2 linked regions of the Coturnix japonica genome follow. The protein of the gene in region 1 purifies or fractionates together with the protein of each later gene. This does not show direct contact. Links are inferred from orthologs where the notes say so. Each region holds a gene or a part of one and is shown in the gene's direction. Other genes may lie near its edges.

Region 1 (5,983 bases):
TGTGACCTTATTGCTTCTCATTTGTCAAACAGGCACACTCTGATCATGTCGTCTCACAAGGTACCCGTGAAAAATAATTTCTTTTCAGCTGTTAAGAACTCAAACATGACAGAGATAAGTACCGGAGAAGAGGAAAGAGATAATAAATTGGTATGTGTTGAGAAGAAGGTTTTGAATAGCGGCCCTAAATGAAGCATGGATTACACGGGGAGCTGCGAGACGTACAGATGTTTCTGAATAGCTGCTCGTTAAGGTGACAATATTGCTCTGTGGGCTGAATAAGTTCTATGGAAAACATAATTTGTGATGGTTAAATTAATGACTATCACTGCGTGCTCACACCGGAGCCCACGTTTCCGACACACAGGAAACGCGCATTTCCTAACACACAAAGCGTTTGACCTTAAGCCTTGATAATGTTCTTTTAATGTATGTTTAGTTACACACATACACACACACAGAGAAAGGAGGAGGGAGCGGGAGCTGGAAGGCTCATGTTTTATGTATGGCGTTCAGTGCTTGCCTCGGAAGCTTGGGTAGCTGGCATTACACGGGTAGGTATTCTGATGGCAATTTGAGATTTAAATCGTCAAGCAATCATTGCGGTGCTAAAAGCACTCTTCTTAACTGTTTTATTCGTGTCATAGGAAGTGTTGAAGCTGATGACTTGCGAGAGGAGAAAAACGTATCTTGATATTCCCATAAAATCTTATACGAGATCAGTAGTCATTACCAGCGATAATACTGGATTATATGGGTGGCATTAATATACATATAATACTTCCCTGCGTGGAATGCAGAGAAGCTGTGAAAGTCTAGAAAGGAATCAGAGCTGAAGCAAAATGGGGAATGTGAACCAAGCAGAGCGAGAAACCGCGCTGTATAAATCAAAATGGGACTGCGTGTGAAAAATACCGATGGAAACGTTAACCCAGCCGTGTTATCCCCCTCGTTATCAAGATATGTGAAGAGGCATTAAACTTAATAGTATGACATGAATAATAGTTTTACAGGGATTAACATATCTGGGACAGTTTCCCCGAGGAATGACAACAAACAAGCCGTTCCAGAGCAGGCAGGCGTATCTCATAGCTCCCTCTCTTATTGATTGTCACAAGTGCACAGAGCTGTGAGGTCCCACGCTTCCCTCAATAGGAATCCCCAGTGCACACAGTTGGTCCCGGCACAGCCATGCATTATCCCCTTTTTCCTCTGCGGTGCCTCTGTGCCAGCAATGCAGAGTGACCTCTTCTAATATTAGCTCTGGCTGTCGGTTTGAAGCTCCTTGTCTCAGCTGCACGGCCCCGGCGGGGATTCCTTTGCTTCCTTCGCTTTCAGAGCACTGCAGGACAGCTTGAGAGCCGTGGGTTTGGAGCTGGGTGACGCTGGCAGTGGCTGAACTGTGAGAGCAAACAAAGCATGTAAACAGCTATCTCTACTCATATTAGCACAAGGCGTGCTGTGGGAAGTCGTGATGAGTAAGTGCTTGGTGTGCATTAAAGTTTCCACATTCTGAACATAGCTGGATGCAAGCAAATTTTCCGTATAAGCTGTTCAAAGCAGCACGGCTCCCTCCTCCCTGTACCACTGGGTCCAGAGGGAGAAGCCACGCCGCTGCCAAGGAGTGGGTGCCACACAATCTAGAGCCATACAATGGTTTGAGTTGGAAGGGACCCTTAAAGGCAATCTGGTCCAACTCCCTGGCAACAAAAAAGGGATGTTTACAGTATATTGTGGGGCTCAGACCCCGTATCTATCACCTCTCTGGGCAATCTATGCCAGGCATAGGCACTGCCTTTGTTGCATCTTGTCTCCATCTGCACAGAGGAGAGTGCACTCAAGATCAGCAAAAAGCTCCTTCAACCCCATCTTCTTCTCCCCATATACTGGACAGATAGACTTCAGACTGTGTATTTGACCCAAGAAGAACACGGGGCTGTTCTGCCTCTGCTCTGAAGCTCTGTTCCTCCTCATCCTGCCACTATCTCACTGCATACAAAGCCTCTCCCTTCTGTTTACAAGCTCCCCCCAAGTACTGGAAGGCTGCAGAGACCCAGCCCATCTCCCTTGAGTTATCTTCATACATAGGGATGGATGGAAGCCGCAGATGTGCCCAAGTGAGCTGCTCTTCACGTCAAAAAGCCGGGGTGAAAACCTGCATGTCCCTGAGGCCGCCTAATAACACACAGCCGACCAATTTCAGCGTTTGGCTGCTAATTCCCATCAGAACTCAAGTGTCCGGCTGTGTGTGAAGCCCGTCACAGGTGAGTAACGCGGCCATCGCCATGGCCGCCATGTTTGGGACCTGTGGCACTGAGGTTAAAACTGGCCTGCACGTTAAACACCTACAAGATATTCGGGCTTTTCTATGTCAGGCGTTACTTGTGCTTCGTGTTGCAGCCCACACACGGCACGGGCTCGGTTTGTGACACGGATGATGGATTATTCACCCCACGGACACGGCCTGCTCTAAAGCCCCGCTCCCCACCCGTCCGCCCGTCCCGCTCCCTCACAGCGCTCTGCCCCAAGGGGGCGCTCTGCTCTGGCAGCGAGCGGCGAGGGGGCGTGGCCACAGTGCCGGCGGGCGGTGATTGGCGGAACGAGGCTATAAATAGGGGCGGACGGCGGGGGGACAAAGCAGTCTGCGCGGGACCGGCGGGCGGGAGGAGCGAGCGGCGGTGCGTCCCGCGGCTCTGCCACTACCACAGGGGTTACCTGCTTCGGTTTATTTATTTCATTTCTTTTTCCATCGGGTTTGTTGTTTGGTTTTGCGCTGGGGCCGGTCGAAGGATACAAAGAGGAGATCAATGAAGGAAAGAAGAGCGAGTCAGAAGTTATCGAGCAAGGCGGTGATGGATCCTAACCAGAACGTGAAGTGCAAGATCGTGGTGGTGGGGGACAGTCAGTGCGGCAAGACCGCGCTGCTGCACGTCTTCGCCAAGGACTGCTTCCCCGAGGTAAGATTTGGGGTCGGGATGGGGCCGGGATGGGGTTGGGATGGGGTCGGGGCTGGCCGGGTATCGGGTCTGACCGCGCTCTGTCTCTCCCGCAGAGTTACGTCCCCACCGTGTTCGAGAACTACACGGCCAGCTTCGAGATCGACACGCAGCGCATCGAGCTCAGCCTGTGGGACACCTCCGGTGAGCAGCGAGGGTGCTGGGGTGGAGTGGCCGGGATCGGGGCGGTGTGCGGGATCGAACTCGCGTCCGCCCGGCGGCCACCCAGGGCGGGCGGGGAGGAGCCGGGCCCAGCCCGCCCCGCAGCCCCGCGCTGTGCCGGGCAGCACCGAGTGCGGGCGGGGAGCGGCGGTGCGCCTGGATGGGATCCGCTGTGCTGAGGTTCGGGTTTATCGTCTAGCCTTGCTGTACGTGATGGTGAGCCAGCAGACGAGAGGGAAAAGGAAGGGTGTGGACGAATCGCTGTCTGTGTTCGGTGGAAGGCAAATAGGACAGTGGTGTTTGCGTTAGCTTCGCTTTGCCCTGAGCCTTTGCTGCAGCAAAGGGGTGCTTATCGCTGCTCGTACTGCATTGAGCCTGCTGATAGCTGAGTTCCATGTAGGCTCCTTAGTGTCTGCTTTGACAGAACACAGCACATTTTCCAGCTCTTGCAGAAGGCTTTGGGTAGGGCAGCATCCTCGGCCCTCTGAAGGTGCAAGGAATTATATCAGAATCACAGAACGTCCTGTGTTGCAAAGGCCCACAGTGCTCACCCAGCTCCAACCCCCTGCTGTGTGCAGGGTCACCAACCAGCAGCCCAGGCTGCCCAGAGCCACATCCAGCCTGGCCTTGAATGCCTGCAGGGATGGGGCATCCACAGCCTCCTTGGGCAACCTGTGAACAGTGCGTCACCACCCTCTGGGGGAAAAACATCCTCCTAAGATCCAACCTAAACCTCCCCTGTCTCAGTTTAAAACAATTCCCCCTTGTCCTATCACTGCCCACCCTCACAAACAGCCGTTCCCCCTCCTGTTTATATGCTCCCTTCGAGGACACCCAGGTAGTACGCAAAAGCCCTTTCTTTTCCAGGCAGGATTTGTATATGTTGAAATTGGACACTTTGGTTCCATCTAAATAAGTCATCATTCCCCTTAGCAGAAACTGAGATTTTAATCCCTTTGCAGAAAAGGAATGTAGACCGTGAGTTGCCTTTCCCCTCGCTGTTCAGGAAATGGTTTTGAAGGCTTGCAACATGATTACTGGGAAAAGGCGCTCTGTGTGCCCACGTTCACTATCAGCATAGTTCCAAACAGATTTGTTTTTTATCTTCTGCCAAGATAGACTTTCATGCTCCTTCAGTGTGTCTGGCTTGAGCTTTCATGCTGATGACTAAGTAGCAAACTCAGTGGAGTAAGGCCTTATTAATTTTTAATAGTTGGCCAAGTTTTTTTCTCTGGCAATTTCTATGTTTAGTTATTAAAATACAGCACGTGGGTCGTTTGACTTGCAAAGGTCTGGAATCTGTTATGTCAAAGGCTGGTGACACCCGTGTGATGAAGCATCCTGTAGCACTTCAAAGGGTGGCAATGCTGAAGAGAAGCACCTGCAAAGCAGTGCATGGTCATGCTTTCAGGCCCATCCTGGAACAAGCAATTTGGCAGTCAGGAGCTTCAGAACAAGTGGTTAACATCTCTGCAGTCTGAAACCAAAGAGGAAATGGTTGAGGGATGCGATGCTCAGACTGGTAGCACTCTGCTTGTGGGATTCTGCAGCTCAAGTCTCTAAGCAACTCTTCCTGTTGACTGTGGGAAGGCAGGGCCCAACACCCCAACACAAAATCACATCATCACCAGATAAGAGACGTAAGGAGATAAGATCCAGTTGCAGCATTATCTCAAGTTCTTGGTAATTTTAATTCTTTACAAGGCTTTGTCATAGCTCTCTGCTGAATTACAATAAATGGCTTAATGACTTCCAAGCAGCCCAGGATGTAGTTAACTTCAAAACATGACTTGTGCTAATGGTGGACAATGTCCATTGCAACATGGGTCTGGGGGGGAGTTAATGGCCCACCTCGTGGCTTTTGTTCTCTGTTTTGTGACAGCAAAGGGTGAAAAGTGGGTGCAGATGAGTTTAGTGTGCTGCAGATATTTCAGGATGACTTTGTCAGTGTTTGAAAGCCTCACAAAACAAGCCTCACTGCCACAGTTCTGCTTTACCCATTAAAGAAGTGCCTTATACAATGTGCTCATTACAGGAGGAATCTTAAGGGCAAGATGTGGAGCATCACACAACTGAACTTTCAAAGGAAGCCGTACTTTTATTAGGAAGTTTTTGTTGTATCCACATAGAGATTTGGGACAAAACACTCGTAAGTAGGAGTGGAACGGGAAGATTCATTATTCAAATATTTTCTGGTACAGTCTAGTTCTGCAAGTCATAAGGATTGAAATGAACCGCAGCATTAAGGGAAGTACTTGCCAACTTGAATTTCAATTGGTTTTTGGACTACCAACCCCTTCTCTTTTTTTTTTTTTCAGAGCAGGAATGTCTGGTTGCAATAGAACTCAGTCATAAATTATTCCATTGGGTGGTAATGCACTATGGCAGTCTGGGGCTGCTTGGCAGCTCTGCTCCTTTTGCAGCGTTTCAGAGAAGGCTCCTCAGCCTTATGGGCACGTTGAGGAATCCTGTATCAGATGCGTTTTGTCTGATGCACTCATGATTCAGTGTTTCTTGCCTTCTTCCATTTAAAAAAGGAGATGGCTTTTTGATATGCAGAGCTTTCAATCCAGTCGGCTTCCGTGCAGTTTGAATGAGCACAGTGTATCCCATCTATATGGTAGTTTGCTCTGCTTTGGAGCGTGGTGGGATCTGGACAGACAGTGTTGTTTTCTGTTAGAGGTACAGTAATGTCAGCACACAAAACACTATGAACATGGTGATATTTGTGTGTTTGGAGAGGTTCCATTTTCTCCGGAATGGCGAAGGTGAATCAAGAAGGAGGAAAGACACCAGCAGTGAATCAGCCACTTGGAGCTGCCGCT
Region 2 (5,224 bases), on another chromosome or scaffold:
TGCATGGTGGGAGCTGTGCATGGCACGCATCCCTCGGCAGCATCGTGGTCCCGCTGTGTGTGTGTGCCCGCAGGATGGTGCGTGGCTGGGATTTAACTGCGTGGCGGCAGCTTCCATGTTTCCCCACCTGCTGTAATTCAGGCTAATCTCATTGAGCCCGTCTGTCCTGTTCCCGGCGGAGCACAGCTTGGCAAGCCGGCACAGGCAGCGCGGCCGTGCCTGGGAGGGGGGGAGCCTCTGCTGCAGCTCGTTGCTGCGCATTGGGGCTGGGCAGCAGAGCTGCACCGGGCCCCTCCAGGAACAGCTGCGTTCATGTCCGCATCCATTGCGCCGTGTGGAGGGATGGCAGCGCCGTGACCAGGCTGGGAAGCGCCGGGCTCTGGAATTAAGCAGAGCCTGTGGCTGGAAGCGCCCCGTGCCACCTCTCCTAATCTTGTTGATCGCTAATGTAAAGCCGGAGTGGATTTAGGGCCCCTTATCTTTGGCTGCTCGACCTGCTGGCTCGCTCCGGGCTGTCCTTGCTGCCGGTGCCGTGCTGCTGCTCTGCTCCTGGTGAGTGCCGAGTGCTCAGTGTGTTGAGGCCGTGCTGGTGGGGAGGGCGTGCAGTGCTCAATGTGCAGTGCTCAATATGCTGTGCTCAATATGGAGTGCTCAATATGCAGTGCTCAATGTGCTGTGCTCAATGTGCAGCGCTCAATGTGCAGTGCTCAATCATGCAGTGCTCAGCCGTGCAGTGCGGTGCCCCTGGCCTGGGCAGTGCAGGAGCATTGCTCCAGCAACGAGAGTGCTGGCTGTTGGGCCCTGCAGGCCTGGCAGCGCTGCTATGGGCTTTTATGGTGAGCGGATGAGCTGTTTTCTGCAGTGAGGCACACGCTGCCTTTCAGGAGCACCGGGGAGGACATACCGCAGCGGTGACCTTTCGGGCAGTGCGGGTTTCGGGAGGGCTCTGCTCTCCAGCTCCTTCCAGAGCCGGGCTGTGCCCGCACCATCCCGCACCTCGGACCCCGCAGCGCAGGGAGCGGGGCAGGAACCTGCCCGGGGGGGGCGGCGAAGTGCGGGCGGAGCGGGATCCGGCCCGGGGGCGGCGGTGCGGGCGGGCAGGTGAGCGGCGTGTCCGCGGGCGGGTCGTGTTTGCGCGGGTGGAGCCGCTGGGCAAACACGGCGCGGGACACACGTGGCACCGGGACGCGGCCTCGCGACATCCCCGGCGCCGGGCGGGGCCGTGCGGGACGGCAGGTCGGTGTGCGGGGCGGTGCGGGGCTCCCGGAGCTGCCGTGGGCTCTGCCCGCGGATCTCGGCGTCCCGCGGCGGGGCGGGCGGTGGGGGCGGGTGGCCCCGTCGGGGGGCGCGGGCGGCGGCCGCGTCAGCGCTGAGCTCAGCAGCGCCGGGAGGAAGGAGGGCAGGAAGCGGGGGCGGCCGGGGCTGCGCGGAGCTTCCTCTGCCGCGCTCCGGGATGCCGCTCCGCTGCCCTCCCACCTGCCACCTGCCACTCGTGGGGCGCTGCCACGTGGGGACGGACCCCCGGGGTGGGCTGAGCGCCCCCGGCAGCGCCCCGACCCCCGGCGCAGCCCCCAGCGAGGGGTCACGGGCCGAGCGCCCACTGGGGTTAAAAATAAATGCCTGTGAATGACCGGCCGAGGCTGAGGCTGGGCGCACAATCGGAGGAAATGCATCGGCTTGCGAGCATTGTTTTGCTGCAGACACTCGCTTCCTCCGTCCTGCCGTGGGGACACTGATCTCACAAACACAAAAGGCTCCGTTGCGGCCCCGCAGCCCCCCTGGGAGCGCAGCAGGTCCCGGTGCACCCTCAGCCCAGCACTGGGACATTGGGAACGGGTGGGTGGGGGCCAGGTGCCCCCAGTGCCTCCAGTGCCCTCTCCCTCCACGCCCAGCTGTGTGCGGCCTTTCTGCTGCAGTCCCTGTGCTCCGAGGGTCTCTGTGCAGTGCAGAGGTGATGGGGAGGGGGCTCAGTGCCCGACAGCACCGCAGCACTGTGGCTGTGTCCCCATCCCCTGCACAGCCCATGGGGGGTCGGGGGATCCTGCTGCTGCCCAGCCCCAGCCCACAGCTGCACCCCACAGGTATGTCACCACGCAGAGTGCCAGCAGCTGAACTGCAGCAGCCCACTTAGCCTGTGTGAGGCCTGTGACGGGCGCCTGCACGGCACCATGCACTTTGATGGGCACATCCGCTTCGATCTGCCCCCACCAGGTAAGCTGGGCTGGCTGTGACCTGGGCCAAGTGATGGGACACAGCGGGTCCAGCTTGTTCAGCACAGCACAGCCCCAATGCTCATTGACAGGCTCCATCCTGGCCCGCAATGTGTCCACACGCTCGTGCCCGCCACGCACCAGCCCTGCCTCCGACATGGAGGATGATGACGAGGGATCAGCAGATGGGAGAGGGTGAGTGAATGTCCCAGCCCTGTCTGCAGTGCATGGGACAGAGCGGGTGCCATCAAACCCTGCAGAACACCTGGCTCTTTCTGCTCCTGCCCGCAGAGACAGGAGAAGCTCAGCACTGAAGCTGCCCAAGAAGAAGGCTCGGCGCAGGCACACGGATGTAAGACACCATCCCCTCCCCAGGGCTCTGCTGTGGGGTTGTGCTGTGGCCACATCTGAGATGGGAGGGAGCCCTTGGTGAGCTGCGTGTCTCCTGCAGGACCCCAGCAAGGAGTGCTTCACCCTCAAATTCGACCTGAATGTTGACATCGAGGCGGAGATCGTGCCGGCCATGAAGAAGAAGTCCCTGGGGTGAGTGTGCCTGTGCCAGGCATGGCCCCAGTGGGCACAGAGACCCACAGGACCCATAGGGATGGTATCCACAGGGATGTGCTGCTGCCGGTCTTTGAGAGGAGGGCGATCGAGCAGAGCAAGGTGGACATCTACCTGGACCAGTCCAACACGCCGCTGTCCCTCCAGTTTGAGGCGTACCGCTTCGGGGGACACTACCTGCGGGTGAAAGGTGTGGAGGGGGGAAATATAAAGCCAGCCCTGCACCTCGGGGCTGGGGGCTCTGACAGCTCCGTGCTCCCACAGCCAAGCCCGGGAACGAGCTGAAGGTGGAGCAGGCAGCACGGGATGCACGCTCAGCCAGCCTGCCCATCCTGCGCCCCGCCGGCACCGCTGCACTCCTCGGGACAGGGCTGGAGCCAGGGCCAGGCCGCAGGGAGGGCACCGACATCCTGGTGAGTACACACAGAGCTCCATCAGCGCTCCATGCCTCATGTGCTCAGGGGGGTGGGGGCACAGCAGGGCAGCAGGGTGTCTCCTGGTTGGCCTCATGCCATGGGGGTGCCAGGGGTACAGCACTGCAGTGCGGGCAGTGCCCTGCCCCAGGTGTGGCAGCTCAGCTGGCAGCCCTGCAGCTGTGCCATGTATGGGCTGGTCCCTGAGCAAAGTAAAGCTCAATGGCTCTGAGCTGCCACGTGGACCCCAGGGCTCGCCCTGGCTGCACTCCTGGCCAGGATGTGGCCACCGTCCCTCCTCGCCTTGGCACCTGTCAGCTGCTGTGTGCAGCCTCAGTCCTGCCCCGTGGACCCTGGCCCCAGATAAGCCGTGGGGCCGGATCTGCTGCCACTCCCTGTGGGAGCAGATGCCACCTTCGTGGGGCCACGCAGCTCCTGCTCCCCAAGGTTTGGCTCTGGTGATCCCAGCGTGGGGACAGAAGCTCCTGGCCCCCTGTGCCAGAAGCCCTTGAGGGTGCCAGGCTGGCTGTGTGGCCGGGGCTGGTGGCCGCCCGCATCCGGCAGTACGATGCCTGGCAGCAGGACCAGCACTGCGCTGGTGGCACAGAAGGGATGGCAGTCACAGGACCACCTCCACTGCTGGGCCCCCGAGAGCAGGTGGGAGCGGAGCCAAAGCTGGGCAGCAGGGCCAGTGTGGGCTGGGGTACTTGGGGACACCGTGGCATGGTGAGCTATGGGCATGTGCTGGGGCAAAGTAGAGGGCACGCTAGGCATGTGTTGGCTGTCACAGCCTGGGGACAGTGTGTCTCGCTGTGCCACGCAATGGCCCTGCTGCACTTTGTGCTGAGTGAGGAGAGGGCAGCAGCCATGTCACAGTGTGGCCTTGGCGTGGGGTGGTAGAGGTGCATGAGCACGGCTGTGCCTGGGCAGGCGGGTGCTGTGTGGCCAGGACCCAGCTCTGCTGCGGGATGGTGGGCTTTGATCTCTGCCAGCGAATTGTTCGGGTCTGTTTAGCTTATCTGGCGAGGAGGGAAATTAGGTTTTCTGCGCTGGCCCCACCTCCTTTTGTTCAGAGGAGCTCGGCCACAGCCTGCCCTGCTCTGCGGTTCAAGTTCAGAGCACAGCTGGGCGGTGTGGGGCTCGGGGTGCTGCACCCCGTGGGATGCGCTGAGCCGCGGTGCCCCTCTGCCACGGGGGGTGGGCACAGGACGCTGCGCTTGGCCCCGGTACACAGGATGCAGGTACGCAGGTCAGTGCGGGTGCGGGCACTGTGAGCTCGTGTCCCATGGGGGCCTGGCTCCGTGCGCCCCGGAAAGGGACCGGCTATGGCACGTGGGGGACACATCAGGGGCAGAGCGCGGCTTTCGGGGGCTGTCCCTGCACTGTGAGGTGTGCAGGGCTGGTGCTGACCTGCGACACCGACTGTACCCACACAGGCTCCGGGCAGGCGGCGGAAGAACATGACGGAGTTCCTGGGGGACGCCAGCATCCCCAGCCCCGAGCCATCCCTGCACGGCAGCGGCTCCCTGCCCACTAATGGCACCGACACCTGGAAGAACCGTGCTGCCAGCCGCTTCAGCGGCTTCTTCAGCTCCGGCGCCAGCACCGGCCCCTTTGGGAGGGTATGTGGGCAGGGGGAGGGTGCGGGAGTCGTGGTGCTGTGCCGGGGTGGTGGTGGGGTGAGGTCCTGCATGGCTGTGCCCCAGATCCACCGGCAGGGCTAGTAGAGCCATGGCACTCTGCCACTGTCCCCAGCCTGTCTGCTCGTGCCTTCCAGCAGGAGGTGGACAAGATGGAGCAGCTGGAGAGCAAGCTGCACACCTACAGCAGCTTCGGGCTGCCCAAACTGCCACCGCAGCTCCGCTTCGACCAGGACTCCTGGGAGGAGGACGGGGATGACAGCAGCCTGGTGCTGGAGGACAGCTGGCAGCAAATCATTGAGGGCACGGAGGTAGGACGGGGGGTGATGGCGATGCTGGCTGCGCTCTTGGGACGGTGCAGCACTGACGCTTGGCCCCGCAGGCCCTGACGCGCCGG

The links. Proteins that work in one complex are often made in the same cells at the same time.
Region 2: the proteins of RND3 (region 1) and PLEKHG5 purify together in Homo sapiens (affinity purification with western blotting; 3 studies listed by BioGRID and IntAct, with this or other methods). This does not show direct contact. The link is inferred for Coturnix japonica from reciprocal best matches to the Homo sapiens genes RND3 and PLEKHG5.

What each region holds. Positions count from the first base shown.
Region 1 is NC_029522.1:30,900,724-30,906,706, forward strand, and holds the start of RND3 (rho-related GTP-binding protein RhoE), read left to right. Parts: upstream 1-2,648; 5' UTR 2,649-2,807; coding exon 2,808-2,957; intron 2,958-3,052; coding exon 3,053-3,140; intron 3,141-5,983. UniProt on the Homo sapiens protein: Binds GTP but lacks intrinsic GTPase activity and is resistant to Rho-specific GTPase-activating proteins.
Region 2 is NC_029536.1:466,798-472,021, forward strand, and holds part of PLEKHG5 (pleckstrin homology domain-containing family G member 5), read left to right. Parts: intron 1-453; exon of another isoform or gene 454-552; intron 553-1,132; exon of another isoform or gene 1,133-1,236; intron 1,237-2,081; coding exon 2,082-2,211; intron 2,212-2,302; coding exon 2,303-2,405; intron 2,406-2,501; coding exon 2,502-2,562; intron 2,563-2,661; coding exon 2,662-2,753; intron 2,754-2,827; coding exon 2,828-2,964; intron 2,965-3,038; coding exon 3,039-3,187; intron 3,188-3,310; exon of another isoform or gene 3,311-4,155; coding exon of another isoform or gene 4,156-4,428; intron 4,429-4,623; coding exon 4,624-4,809; intron 4,810-4,964; coding exon 4,965-5,138; intron 5,139-5,209; coding exon 5,210-5,224. UniProt on the Homo sapiens protein: Functions as a guanine exchange factor (GEF) for RAB26 and thus regulates autophagy of synaptic vesicles in axon terminal of motoneurons. Involved in the control of neuronal cell differentiation.